2 linked regions of the Astyanax mexicanus genome follow. The protein of the gene in region 2 purifies or fractionates together with the protein of the main gene of each other region. This does not show direct contact. Links are inferred from orthologs where the notes say so. Each region holds a gene or a part of one and is shown on either strand. Other genes may lie near its edges.

Region 1 (7,164 bases), on a different chromosome or scaffold from region 2:
AGAAGTAATCAAAAGTAGGAACTGAAGCACACGAGCTCTTCACAGATCTTGCAGCTGATGTCCGGCTCTCTTTCTTCCCCTGTGAGTGCTCTGATTTGCTGGCATGGCTCTGACTCGTCTGCTTGCGGACCTTCGGCCTGACCACCATTTCGGACTGAACTGTTTCCTGCATGCTGGTGCATTCTGGGTCTATACAGGAGCACGGTCCAGCACTGTATGATGATTTATTACAAGTGTCTAACTGGGCTTTTCCCAGATTATCATATTTACCATTGGTTTTCTCAGTCCTCGTGGAATGCGCATCCCCTTGCTCAGGTTTTAAAAGCATCTCTTTGGTTGAGCGATCAGAAAATTGGCAGAAATCTCCGTCCATGCACGCATGTGAGTGACCAAAGTCATCAAAGTCTTTCCCAAGGCCACAAATCATGTCTAGCTTTTTCTGAAAGACACAAGTCTGTTCTGAGCTCAGACCCTCCTCCTCACCACCACTGCTGTCCGGTTCATAGGAATCAATGTTCACAAAGCTCAAAACACTCGCACTAGCCAGCTTCCCATCCACCTCATCTTTCACATCCCAAGCACTAGCACCATTTGTAGCACAAGTGTCAAACGACACTATGTGATCATGCCTCCACTTCTCACACTCCAACAACTTGTGGGAGGAGTGTGGGTGCCTTTTACAGTCATTCTGGTTTGTCTTTGACTCCCGGTCAGCAAAATTAGAGGACAACACAGGAAAGCCAGCTGGAATCATTGAAGGAATGTTTCCTTTAGACAGAGCTAAAGAGAGAAAGAATTTATTTAATACATTTGGTAAAAACCTCTCTAAAATGGTAACTTTACAGGGTAAGCAAAAAACTTTAACTATAAAGAGGAAGTCAATGTCAAGTAATTTTGAAGCATTTCTATTAAGCAGTTAATCACAAAGTGTAAAAAAGAGCAACAACAACATATTGACTACATAGAATTTCTTTAAAAAAATGATTATAATTATAAAATAAACATTTGGATCCTTAAGTGTTTTCAAAAACATCTGTATACAGTGCCAAAAAAAACATGTTTTTATGTGTGTGGAAACATTTTGTTCTGTTTTGTCCAGAAATGTTAATTTTGGTGCATCCCTAATTTTAACCAAAGGTCAGCAAGTGATGTAATTTTGTGCTGATTCATACCAGTGGCGTGCTCCCCTTGGACACTGCTCATCTCCACCTCCTGGCTATCCATGCTGGACAGAGTTCTGCGCTTGTATGGGGTGGGCCTAAAGGTGACATACGCATGCCTCCTGCCGTATCTCCTCCCTGTGGTCGTCTGGTAACCCCCAGATGGTCTGGGCCAGGACGGCTTGCCCGCTTCCTGACCCATTGCTATGTGAAAGAAACAGCTTAGTGTACACAACCGAGATAACTGTGTAGGCCTTTGTATTTCTGAATCAGATGATCAACATTTTTAAAATAAAAAAAACATCATTTTTAAGTGGTCTCTTATTTATATATGTATATATATATTTTTAATGTACTGTACATATTTTCAAACCTGGAACTTAAATGCTAATGCATTCTGAATAGTAGACATTGTAATTCCAGCTATCTATGTGTGTCCAGGTCCACATGAAATCCAAATATGTATTTTTAGGATGTATGCAGTTTTAGATCTCTATAATATAATTTTAGATGCCCACAATAAGAGTTTTGATTGGTAACAACAATATTATTGATTTCCTAGTAAAAAGCCAACTGTAGATTTCTTTAACTGGAGTTCTTACTAATAAAAATGTGATTATGAAGTGAAATATAGGAAGCAAAAATCTATGTAAATCAATGGTAACATCCAGTATAATCATATTTGTATAGATCAGGCAATATTACTAGTACAATGTGATAGCGGATTTCTGAAATGAGAGTTTCTATAAGTAAACACTGCTGATACTATGTTTAGAGTGTCGAGTCACTGGTGTTACCCTAGGATTTAATGGCTTGCTATAGATCTGTAGGCCTGAACACAGGAAGATTTCAGTAAAGTATAATGTTAGATATGATTGCTAGTTCGCTTGTTAGCTAACTTCCAGAGGTCTGAACTTGCAAAGCATGTAGTTAAGCTTGCTAACTAACAAGCTAACAACCTATTAAAGCCCGCATTAGTGGAAGCTTGATATTAAACTAGCTAGCTAATATGCTGCACAGGTATAGCAGCTGTAAGTCTGCAATGGAGTTTATAGGAAACATCAGTGTATTTATTTCTTCCGTGTTTTAAAATGCCTTTATTTAACGTGACTGTCTATTTTTTGCACAGGAAGAAGCAAAGCCTGAAGGCTGGCATTCATTAGCTGCCACTGTGCTAACAACAACAACAGTGTAGCTTAGCTAACTGACTGAAGCACACAGTTAGCTTACCTAGCTTTAGCTTAGGTAACTATTTATCACATAGCTTAGCTAGCTAAATGTGATATTAACAAACAGTAGGTTAGTTAAAATATATACAAATATAGCTATCTAAGGCAGTATGAGACATTTCTGACTCTTTAGTTTTACTCATCACAAGTTACAAGAAATGTTAACAGGCTAAACTTCATCCCCAGGGCCCTGTTACTTTTAAGTAAGTGAAGGTAGCTAATCTATCTATGCTAAGCTAACATAGCTAAGCTAAGCTAAACTAAGCTAGGCTAGGAAGCCACTAGCCTGCTTATCGAGAGCTAAACTTTCGCTTTGTGAGCTTTAAGCCCCCCAACCCGCAGCAAATGACATGAAACGATGTGATATCTAAACACTACAGCCCCGTCACACAGCCCCGCTGTGCTGTTCAGCGACAATCAGCGCAGATATTTAACAATAAAGGCTTTTACCAGTCTCTCTCTCTGTCTCCCTCTTGTTAAAGCGACTGAGCGGACGTCACAGCCAAACTTCAGAGTCATATGACAGCCCTGCTCCAATGCTGTCTCTCAGCAGCAGGCAGGCTCATTGGGCTCAGGGGGGCTCCGCCGAGAGACGAGGTGGGTCACTCCCCCTGTTTACTTTCCCTTGTGTTGTCTGGAGACAGCACTACATCCGGGTACGTTGCCCTTGTGTAAAGCCCACCCCGCCCCCTTTTTGCTCCACACTTCTGGGGGCCACTAGCATGCTGTCTAATAAGCCCTATCCGGACGAGATTAGTTTCTCAGGGGGACGTCATACCTGTCAAGTTTTGGACTTAAAAATAAGGGATTTTTTTCCGCCGCCCCAACAGCCCAAACGAGGGAAAAAAAAAATAATAATAAATAAATAAATATATATATATATATATATATATATATATTATATATATATATATTTTTTTTTATTTAATAGATTTAAAATTGAAATTGAAGGGTGCACAAATTTACAAAAAGGACATGGATCAGATATATTCCATAAGTAAATAATAGTCCTAAGGGGCCTACACAATTAATAATCTTTCATTAATACTTCTTTCTATCGTTCAGTCCACTCCTGATCAGTTCAGTTAATTTCAGCCCTCTCCACATTTTCTCTCTCTCCAGCTCAACCATCTCTTCTACCCCTTCTAAATAATACATTACACCACAATACTTGAGATTTAAACAAATTCTAACAAACCCTAAAACTAGCCCTGAACTAATAGAGTTTGGAAATGATAGTTATTGGCTGATCAGGCACATCAGGGCAGGGCATTATATATATATATATATATATATATATATATATATATATATATATATATATATATATATATATATATATATATATATATGTAGATTTTTCTCAAACCCTGAATATCTATCTAGCTAATTCTAAAGTTAAGCTAACTGAGTCACAAGCTGTATTTTATTAAACACACAGTGGGTTTAATTTATGTTTTGATTCAGAGAAGAGTCTTTTTAACCCGCTATCAGAAACAATCTCATCACAGTTTACATGGTTAATTACCTTTCTTTTAGAAAAATCTCCGTATATCCAGATTATTTTTAAGGACAGCTGCTTCGACTAGCTGCCTGAACTCACAGCGAGGGGAGGGGCGGGGCTTCCCGCACACTAAACTGCGCTCCGCAAAACCAGCTAGCTGATTGGCTGTTTCTCCTGAAAGGCGGGACTTTCTCCTTGAACCGGCACCACGATTGGTTAAGAGACACACAGCGGTCAGTGCATTGTCGCCTGTGGCCTATATATTTTTTTACTAAGTATAATACGGGAAATTTACGGGAAAATACATAATACGGGAGGACGGCGGGAAAGAGGAGTAAAATACGGTAGTTTCCCGGCCAAAACGGGAGACTTGACAGGTATGGGGGACGTGTCTGAAAAATATTTCACACTGCGCACCAGATACCTCAAATATCCAATTGTTCCAAAAGCCAAATAAATCCACTTTAAAACCTTAAATGGAATCTATCTTTCCAGTCACTTTATTCAACAACGGTTTGGTATTAAAACAAATAACTGTGTTTTTTGTGATGATACTGAATCAACTAAGCATTTATTTTTTTCACTGCATATATGTTAAAATACTGTGGTCTGATATTTTTAATTGGTTATCTTCCAAAGTTCCTTTTCTTAAAATGTTTTCTGTTGAAGACATAATTTACGGACTGTATAATATGGACAATTAGAATGACGACTTTCTCATTAACAATATTATCAAACTCAGAAACTCAGAGATGTGAGTCCGGACAGGATTAAAATTACCGGAGGAGTTCATTAAAAAATAGTAGGTAATTCAGCCTGTAATTTTAAGAGGAAATCTGAGAAAAACACATACATGGTCGCCCATAAAACGGCCATAAATGAGAAAATTACCCCAGGACCCCCTGAGAAACTAATCCTGTCCGGATATGGTTTAAGATCTCCTTGTGAAAATAAAAATTCCACTATGAACTTATACTAGTTTTTTAAACTCTTTACAGTAAATTGCTGTGTATATTTAAATTACGTTAGTATGTTTCTTTATATTTAGTTCTGTATATTTAATAGATTTTTTCTGTATATTTAGTTCTGTAAAGTTTGTTTATTTTTTCTATATATTTATTAAATATCTGTATATTTGTTTTATATATTTAGTTTTTTTTCTGTAAATTTTGTATATTTCTGTACAGTGTGTCTGTAAATTTAGTTCTATATATTTAGTATATTTCTGTGTATTTATTATATTCATGTACAGTATAATTATGTATATTTAGTTCTGTATATTTGATATATTTCTGTATTTTAGCTCTGTATATTCTATATATTTACTTCTGTATATTCTATGCATTTAGTATATTTCTGTATATTTTGTATATTTCTGTACAGAATATTTTTGTAAATTTTTCCTAAATATTTAGAATATTTCTGTATATTTAATTCTGTATATTTTATATATTTCTCTATCATTTTCTATATATTTAGTATATTTCTGTATATTTTGTTCTGAAACTTTTTTCTATATATTTAGAATATTTCTGTATATTTTGTCCTGTATATTTTTCTATATACTTAATATATTTCTGTATAATTATTATATTTCTCTACATATTTATTGTATTCTGTATATTTTTCTTTATATTTAGTATATTTCTGTATATATTTCTCGAAATATTTTGTCTATATATTTAGAACATTTATGTATATTTATGTATATTTTGTTCTGTATATTTTTTGATATGCTTAGTTTTCTGTATTTCTGTATATTCATTATATTTCTCGAAATATTTAGTATATTTCTGTATATTTTCTATATATATTTAGTATATTTCTGTATGTCTAGTTCTTTATAGTTAGGATATCTGTATGTTTAGCATATTTTTATATATTTGTCTATATATTTAGTATATTTCTGTATATTTAGTATATTTCTGTATATTTAATATATTCTGTGTAGATATTGCTATATTATTAGGATATTTGTATATTTGGTATATTTATGTATATATTTTTATATATTTAGTATATTTATGTATATTTAGTATATGTATGTGTAGTTAGTGCTGTATAATTAGTACATTTCTGTATAAGTAGTACATTTGGTATTTGTTAAGTAAATTTCTCTATATTTAGTTCTGTATATTTAATATATTTCTGTATATTTATCTGTGTTTTTAGTGTGTGTATGTGTGTTTAGTGTATTTAGGGTGTATGTGTAATTGTTGTACAGTATCTAATCAGCTGTCTGAAGTCCCGCCCGCTGTGTGTGTTGGTGAGCTGCAGGCGGCGCTGTTTATTCGGGTTCCTGGTGAAGCTGCTCCTCCTGCTGCCGCTGCTGCTGCTCGGTGTGCGGCTGTGTTGAGAGGAGATCAGGACGGGGGCAGAACGGGGGGGCAGGACGGGGGCAGGGCTGTCAGTGCTCTCAGGATATCAGGCGTCTCTTTGCTGAATCACACAAACTCTTCCGCGTCGGTAAAGTTTGAGGAAGCTCGGCGCGGTGGGGGAATGGCTGCTGCTGCTGCTTCTGCTGCTGCTGCTGATGTTGTTCCTCCTCACGAGTTCAGAGAACTGCTGTGATCCTCTGAGCTCTCCAGAACTCCAGTGAGACCCAGCAGATCTTTACAGGAGATTTATACTGGGATATATTTCACCGTGTAGTTAATGAGAGTGGAGGAGCTGGATTACCCTTTTTTCTGAGTGACCGAGAGTTTCTTAACCTGCACCGTGAGGAGGAGGATCTGAAGAGGAGAAATGAAGTTCAGGGGACAGTTCACAGTGTTTGGCAGTGCCATATTCTGTGTGGTGGTGTTCTCCCTGTACCTCATGCTGGACCATCTGCAGTTAGACCACACCAAAGACCCCAGCAGTTTAGAGGGGTTTCAGAACGTGAGTATTTATTTATTTATTTATTCCTCTGTATTTACAGGTATATGCAGATGTTGCTGTATGTGCTGGGCTGCTGTTTTGTGGACTGTACCACACTGTTAAACACCACAAACCCCATATCATACCTTATTACTGAACCAGGAACCTCCTCTGCTTTGTTTTTACTACCTGTAAAACAATTTCTTCCTGCCTACCACTAAATACAGCATGCTGTACAGTTTCAGCTTAGCTTATTTATTTTGCTTAAACATATCATTTAAAATTATGTATCTCACATAAAGGAATGCATGCAGATATATTTAATTCCTCTTTGGAAATACCATATGGAGCAGAAATATATGTAAAATGTATTATATTTTATGTATATTTTATGTATAAAGAAATGCATGCG
Region 2 (7,409 bases):
GGTAGTGCTGTCAAACACAGCTGCTGCTGTGCATGGCAAGATTTCTATTCTGCCTGGATTAATCCATACATTTTCTGCAGTACTACACTAGGGTTCATTTGAGCTTCTGTGTTTGTACTTCCTTATGTTCAATGCTAAAGCTTACTCAGCACTAATTTATAAAGCATCACAACTACACTGAGATATTATAATAATTTAAAAAGACTCTATTCTGCCAGGCACTACACACCACACTTATTTTTGTCTCCCTCTTACGATACAGGGAAGTATCAGCATTTTAGCCTTTTATTTTTTACTCATGATTAATAAAAAAAATACTGTTGTGATTAATACATTATATTTTAAGGGACTGACAACTCCAATATAAATATAATTCCAATCTTACATTCTTCAAATTAATTTAAGTTATGACTAAGTTTTTTTGTGATTGACACCACTAGTATATACTTATATGGAATAAGCATCATTCTAACAAATGTTTTCTGGATTAAAAACAATACAAACCAATCTTTGAAGGGAAGATTGTTTCATCATCCAACTGATCCTGAACCCAGGTCATCAGATAATCAATGTATTTTGGAGCAGAACATTTGATTGGTTTCTTAATGTTGGTACCATCAGCCCAGTGGTACTCATACCTGTACAAACATAAAACTCGAATGTTGGATGTTTGGACACACATTTTAACATCCAGTTTTGATTAATTTATCACATCAAGAATGATTAACAGTGATGCAAAGGCCTATACAGATACACCAGTAACATCACGTCATGTTGGGAACCTGACACTAAAAATCCTGTTTTCATAAATTACTGACGAGAACATATTTATTTACTTAGGGCTTGTTGATAAACATTATGTGATTATATGATTATAAAGAACATATTATATATGCACACAGACCTAGTGGACCAAAACAACAAAGCAAAACAGAACCCTTAAATGATTTTCTTTTACCTGGGCCCTGCAGACATAACAGAGCAGCTGGTCTCAGTGCAGAATTCAGTAATGGTGCCATAAAGCATGTTGATCTGGTTAAAGAAGTCCACAGCTTTTATATGTAAAAAACAAACAAACAATAGTGTCATCAATATGCAGGATCCTTTTGCTATATCATGACAGCCTCTGTATCTCTTTCTAGACAGAGAGCTAGACTGATTTATACATTGCACATTGTACATAACTGAATGTGTTTATAGAAATTGTTCTTCAGGTGTCTCTGACAGATTAACTCTCACTCATGCAGATATAGAGACTTATTATTATAGACTTACTATTTACGGCTATCCATTCATTAAGATCCTCTCCCTCTGGTAGCATAACAGCAGCTCGAAGGTTGCCACTTCCTAAAGTGGCTTCAGCATGCTTCAAGAGTTCGTACTGGTGAGAGCCCTCTGGAATGTTCTTCTTTGGTTTGAATGTCTTTGAAGACCGACTTGCACTAAAGCGAAAGCAGTAAGATTTTTTTTCAACATTTTTAATGTTTTAAACATGTTGCTGATCCCCCCCAAAGCAAATCCTCTTGTGTCATTGTCACATAACACATATAACCATTGGAATCTTCCCGCAGAAATGCTGCATTATTTCTTTCTATATTTCATGCTAAAACACTTCCATATCTATATTCTAGTTCGAGACTGTGGTTTTACTAGGTCTGCTACGTTGGAGCACAAAGCTAGAGGAAATCCCCTTTGGCAGCATTAATAATGTCATAGGTTAATAAGAAATTAAAGACAGTATTTGTATCCGGCACAGCTAGTGTTAATATTAAAACACCCCGCTGTGCCAGGAATTTAGACGTATAAAGACGACAACAACCAGTAATTAGTCAATCATCACAGAGACGATGCGGTATGACTAAATAATGACTGTTTCCTGTTTCTTCATACATCTCAGTTCTTGCAACAACATGGCGACAACTGTCAGCAATGCACTTTTATTAATGCTGTAACAGCCAATAGCAGCAGGCAGACAGACAGATATGCTGAAGTGTAGAGGCATATTAAGCATAACTGCTCAAGTCCAAAAATATGTTTTAAACTTATTAGATATATTAGATATTTTAATAGATCTTTAAACTAAATCATTAATGAATATTTACTACTAAAAAAATTAGTTTACACCTTAATCAACCTTACTACAAGACAGTTATCAAAAACAGTCTACTTTCCAGCAAAGATTAATATGGGAACCAGCCAAATACTAACTAGAACACATTCCTTAAATCTTATCGTTAATTTCCTCATTGTATCGAAATTGTTTGTGTAAAATTCACACTGATGTTTTGTTTTCTAATAATGTGCTCGATACAGACATTTCAACACACTAATGAAGAACGATATATAGATCAGTGAATACAGGGAAAGGGACAACACTAACACTTTAGGAGACAATAACACAGGCTTAGAATCAGCCATTGTTTAACCAAACTTCTTTTTAAAAACTTATTTCAGCTAAAAAGAAAGAACTTTATGAGAGGAACTGTTTATAGGTTCAGCTTTGTGAGCTAAAGCTAGCTAAATAGACAAACCTAACCTACATATTTTAATTCATACATACTAGCCAGCTAAAGCTAGCCTAGCTAACCGAACTAGCCCCCTCCTCGCTATTCTTGCTATTAGATAGTTAACTATTAGCTGACGAATATGAAACACTCATCAGTTCTTTAAATAAAACACAAAACTACTTAAAGCCGTGTTAGCTAAAGTGAGCAGCATATCCCCAGCAGACGAACTCACAGAGGGACCAGCGCTAAACCCAGGCGGAGCGCTACAGTACTTACAATAAGAAACTCATTTCCGTTAACTTTCTTCAACTTTCAGTCCCGTCGCTGGCTGAGGAATTACTCCGATAAAATACGGTGTGTGGTTCAGGGGTAAGCTCTTCACTGAAGCGCTGTTTAAGGCATTAAAGTGTGGATTTAAAGTATTTGTAGGAGTTTGAAAAGCGCAAAGACTGACGAGAAGAGAAACTGCTGAAACAGGAAGTGTGTGTATCTAAAAACAGCGCAGCAGCTGCGCAGCGGAAGAGATGCAGTGCAGTGCACTACCCCCACTGTATACATCGCACACCACCCCCACTGTATACAGCACCCCACTTTATACATCACACATTACTCCCGCTGTATACAGCACCCCACTTTATACATCACACATTACCCCAATTGTATACATCACACATTGCCCCCAATGAATACATTACATATTACCCCCGCTGTATGATATAGGAATTAGTTGGCAGGTGGGCAGGCTCTCATCCGACTCTGAGAGAACTACGCATAGACATCATATACATAGACAATGTATCGACTTACAAACAGCAGAGATATAGTTATGATACAGGACACATTACACATTACAAATACACGCTTTCATGCTGAAATACTTTATATTATGCTTTTAAACAAAGACATAGCATATTAATAAGGTTTATAAAAATTTTTTTTATTTATATAAACATTTATACACACACACAACTTTACCATAAAATATTAAATATTAAAGTCCTTGAGAGATGTATTTTTTGCCATCATTTTTGTGTGACTCCATTCATTTTATATTTTAAAAAATATATATGCACATAAATACACACATCGCCTCTGATCTATATATATATATAATGTGTGTATTTATGTGTATATATGTATATATATATATACAATTAATTTATAAACCTTATTAATATGCTATTATCTACGTATAAGATATCTATGGAACTACGCTCGTCGACGTCAGTAGGCGGAGCTGCCCGGTGTAGGAACCCCTCCTTCTTTGTGACGTACAGGAGCATATGTTAAAACGACGTACCCGGGTCGCTCTGACCGGTGAAGGTGTCCGGCTCGCTGGTCTCAGTCATTCACCGCACCGCTCTGTCTGTCTGTTTATTTATACTTATTTATTCTATATGTATCTTAATTAATGTATATATATTAGAACTGACGTCTCCTAGGCTACACCATGGCCACGCTGAGAGCGCTGCGGAAGCTGTGCCAGCACGCTCACCATCAGACCTGCAGTCTCCATCTGTCCGCTTCACGGTACGTAGCTCAGAGTTACTGTTAGCTCAGCACTGTGTGTGATAATACAGCGCAGCGCTGTGTCCGAGCCCCACTTTTCTATATGGTTCCAGAGAAAGCCAAGTTTAGCTTTACAGCCGCGCTGACTGAGCCGGGGTGTTCTATCGAGTTGTGCTCCCCATCGATATGTGCTACTTAGCGGTTCTGCTCATGCGCAAAACTCTGTTTTCATGTTCTTTTCTTAGAGGTGGGTAACCCAGGTCCAGAAAATAAAACATCCGACGCAGGGTTTTGTATTAAATGCCTTGGCGGCTCTGCCGAAGCTAAGCCGTTCAGGCAGTTGGTACACAAGCCTGGGATGGAATTTTACTTTCTGGACTTGGCTTACACACTTCTACGCCTTTACTTAATCCTGATACCCTGATACAGCGATTTAGGCTATTTAAATTTCATACCGACACTTTTACTGCCAGCATGTTCTAATATTTTTTATTTGTACAGTTAAACATACTCTAGGGTGGCACGGTTTGACAGGGTAGCAGAATTCGACAGAACACTAGGTTTGTGTATGTGAGTGATAATTAGCTGTTTCCAGCAGTAATAAACCTGCAGACAGGAGTTAGTAGAGTTAGTTAGGTGCTGTTGGTGTTCGGGTTGTCGGCATTAGGTAATAAATGTATTAAACCCGGGAGCGGACAGCGCTGAGGAGCCACGGCGCGCGCCCTCCCGCGGTGTGCCGGTAGTGCTCGCGCACTTGTGGCTGATGAAATCCTGCGGGGCGCTTGCAGTAAGGAGGTCCGCGCTGTGCTGTTGCCCTCAAGCCGCGTCTAGGATTTACGAGCTGTGCGCAAATGCACAAACTCCAATTTACTAACGACAAACTCGACAACCTCAGACTTCCCGAGCTGGAGGCGTGTCAGTACAAAAACAGCTGATTTAGGAGAAATTGCAGTTTATTTTTACTCTTTATCCCCACATTAATAAATCAGATAAATGCATGCTACTAATGTTATACTTTTATACTACTGGATAAATGTCTCTCTCATCTGAAGCACATACAGTAACTTACACTCACATCTCACTTCAAATACATGATTTCTAGGTAGAGTTGAAGGTGTGTGTGTGTGTGTGTGTCTGTGTGTGTGTGTGTCTGTGTGTGTCTGTGTAAAATGAGCTGTGTGGCTATTTAAATGTGAGTTACGTGTTATTAAAGGCCTGCAGCAGACCCTGCTGTCTCTGATTTAGACTGACTGGCTCAAGCGCGTGGTTTATGCACATGACCTTATTAGTAATGTTCAGAAACAACCCGGCTCCCATTAACGGGCTACTTTTTACTTACTTACTACTTTGGTAGCATTCTTTTGTAGCATAAAAATAGGTTCTGATAATGATTACTGGTTATGTTGTAAAGTAATTATGTAATCCTCTTGATTACTTAAAAAAAGTAACATACTCTGATCCATTGACAAAACAAGTTTCAGCACAAGTTCCTCTAAGGCCACAGAAAGATTAATGACTGGTGGGAGCTTGTCACTTGGCAGTGTCTCCCTCAAGCAAGTGAATTGCCCTGGTGATTCAGAAAAACGAAGCACTCAACTAGCATAAAGTGTCCAGTGTTTTTTTTTTTTTTGTAAAAACAAAAACTTTTGCAGCAGTACTGTTTAGAAAAAGTGTTAACAAAAGTCCACTATGAAATAATTATCCACCACTGAGAGAACTATTATATGCTGCTACATGAAGAGGCCTCTTACATCATGCCAAATGGCTCATTACTTTTCAATGTGGCCTCTTATGTAAGCAAAATCTCATTCAAAACTGTTAACAATCTGAACCTGTGATATCCTTTCACTGGAATTGCTGGAAGGATTTAGCTTGAGAGCTGCCATTACAAGAAGTTCGCATGTAACATGCTACCATCTCTTCTATGTTTAGTCCATCTCTATAGCAGATCTCCAAAGAGACCTAGATTAAATTACCTTAACCTTAGTTTCCACAATTTCCTTAGAACTTGGCTGAGTGTGATAAGATCTGACAGCCATAAATCGTACACTTTGACCGGTGTTCTGTTGATTTGAGCCATCTTGTCAAACCGTACTTCCCTAGTGTAAACCAAGGTGTTACTTACACAAGGTAGCTAACACTAACTAGTGCTGTAAACAAAGTGAGCAGAGCTATTAGTGCCTCCTTAGCTATAGGTCTTAATGCTGTAGACCTGGTTTAGCTTCGCCTGTGGGCGGCCCTGAGCCGAGGTGGGCGAGGCCATGAACTTGCTGGTTGATGTAGACACCCTAACATCTCTGATTAACTCGTATTTCTGAGGATTTTCTTTTACTAGCTATTGTAGACAAGAGAGGCTAAGAATCAGTTTCATGTGCAGCATGCATATACATATCAGAGAGACCTATAATATTTTGCAAAGAACAAGAAAAAATTCTGTTTGTGTTCTTGTTGAAGGCGGTCGCATTTTCTTTCTCCTCCCTTCCCCTTATCGCTCCTGCTTGGCTTCTCTTGTCTCGTCTGGCACTGATATTCCTTAAAAGACTCTTTTCACACTGCTCTTCAGACCAAAAGAAATGGATATAATTAAAGGGTCTCTAATTGCAATTGAGTAGCCTGGGTTCGGAGGAACCTGCTTGTCCAGATTTGCAGTTTGCTATGCAAGGGACGCGTGGGAGACGTGGCGGACCGTGTGCCTGGCGACTCCATTGAGGACATCGAAGATGTCTACCTTTTTGGCACAATGATCACAGGGTTCTTACTGATTGGATTAGGCATTGCCCTGGTCTATCGTAAAATTGAAAGTGTGGGGACAGCTGTCAAAGGCCCCCAAAAGCTGCCCGAAATGATTGATGTGGTGCGCAGAGCTGTTGGCATTCAGACTGTGACTTTTAACCGCAACATTTAAAACATCTCGGAGAAGCAAACGGCTTTGCAAAGGAACGTGGAGAAAATTGAGACCATGGTGGACAATAGCGAGTGAGCGCCCTAAACTGGTCAACGGTCACTCACCTAAACATCTAAAGTCTAATCTGCTTTCGGCTCCCACCTTATCAGCACTCGGCCTTATGGATGATGGGGAACATTCCTTCAAAGAACACTGTGACTTGACTCTCTCCCTGTTTACCTAAGTTTGCTGGATGTGTCTCTGACTGGGAGCTGATCAAGGGTGTCTCCATGGCAAACTGATTGTTGCCAGGCAGTGCGACTTTCCCACGCCTTCATTACTTGTTATTTTGTGTGTATTGTATGTGCTCATGTGCTGAGGTTTTTTGATGTTCCTCTTTAGGGCACAGTCTAGGGGTATGTGTTTTCCCCTCTTCTTTCCCCTTATATTCCTTTATTATTATTATTTTTTTTATTATTTTTTTATTGTCATACAGAATCATACATGTC

What was found.
Region 1: the proteins of mob1a (region 2) and pja2 purify together in Homo sapiens (affinity purification with western blotting; 3 studies listed by BioGRID). This does not show direct contact. The link is inferred for Astyanax mexicanus from reciprocal best matches to the Homo sapiens genes MOB1A and PJA2.

The regions. Positions count from the first base shown.
Region 1 is NC_064408.1:18,516,778-18,523,941, reverse strand, and holds the start of pja2 (E3 ubiquitin-protein ligase Praja-2), read right to left. Parts: upstream 3,009-7,164; 5' UTR 2,840-3,008; intron 1,365-2,839; 5' UTR 1,363-1,364; coding exon 1,173-1,362; intron 781-1,172; coding exon 1-780. Other genes in the region: man2a1 (alpha-mannosidase 2), read left to right, coding at 6,639-6,773.
Region 2 is NC_064429.1:1,652,772-1,660,180, forward strand, and holds the start of mob1a (MOB kinase activator 1A), read right to left. Parts: upstream 3,014-7,409; 5' UTR 2,798-3,013; coding exon 2,784-2,797; intron 1,443-2,783; coding exon 1,276-1,442; intron 1,053-1,275; coding exon 959-1,052; intron 639-958; coding exon 505-638; intron 1-504. Other genes in the region: mthfd2 (bifunctional methylenetetrahydrofolate dehydrogenase/cyclohydrolase, mitochondrial), read left to right, coding at 3,958-4,037. UniProt on the Homo sapiens protein: Activator of LATS1/2 in the Hippo signaling pathway which plays a pivotal role in organ size control and tumor suppression by restricting proliferation and promoting apoptosis.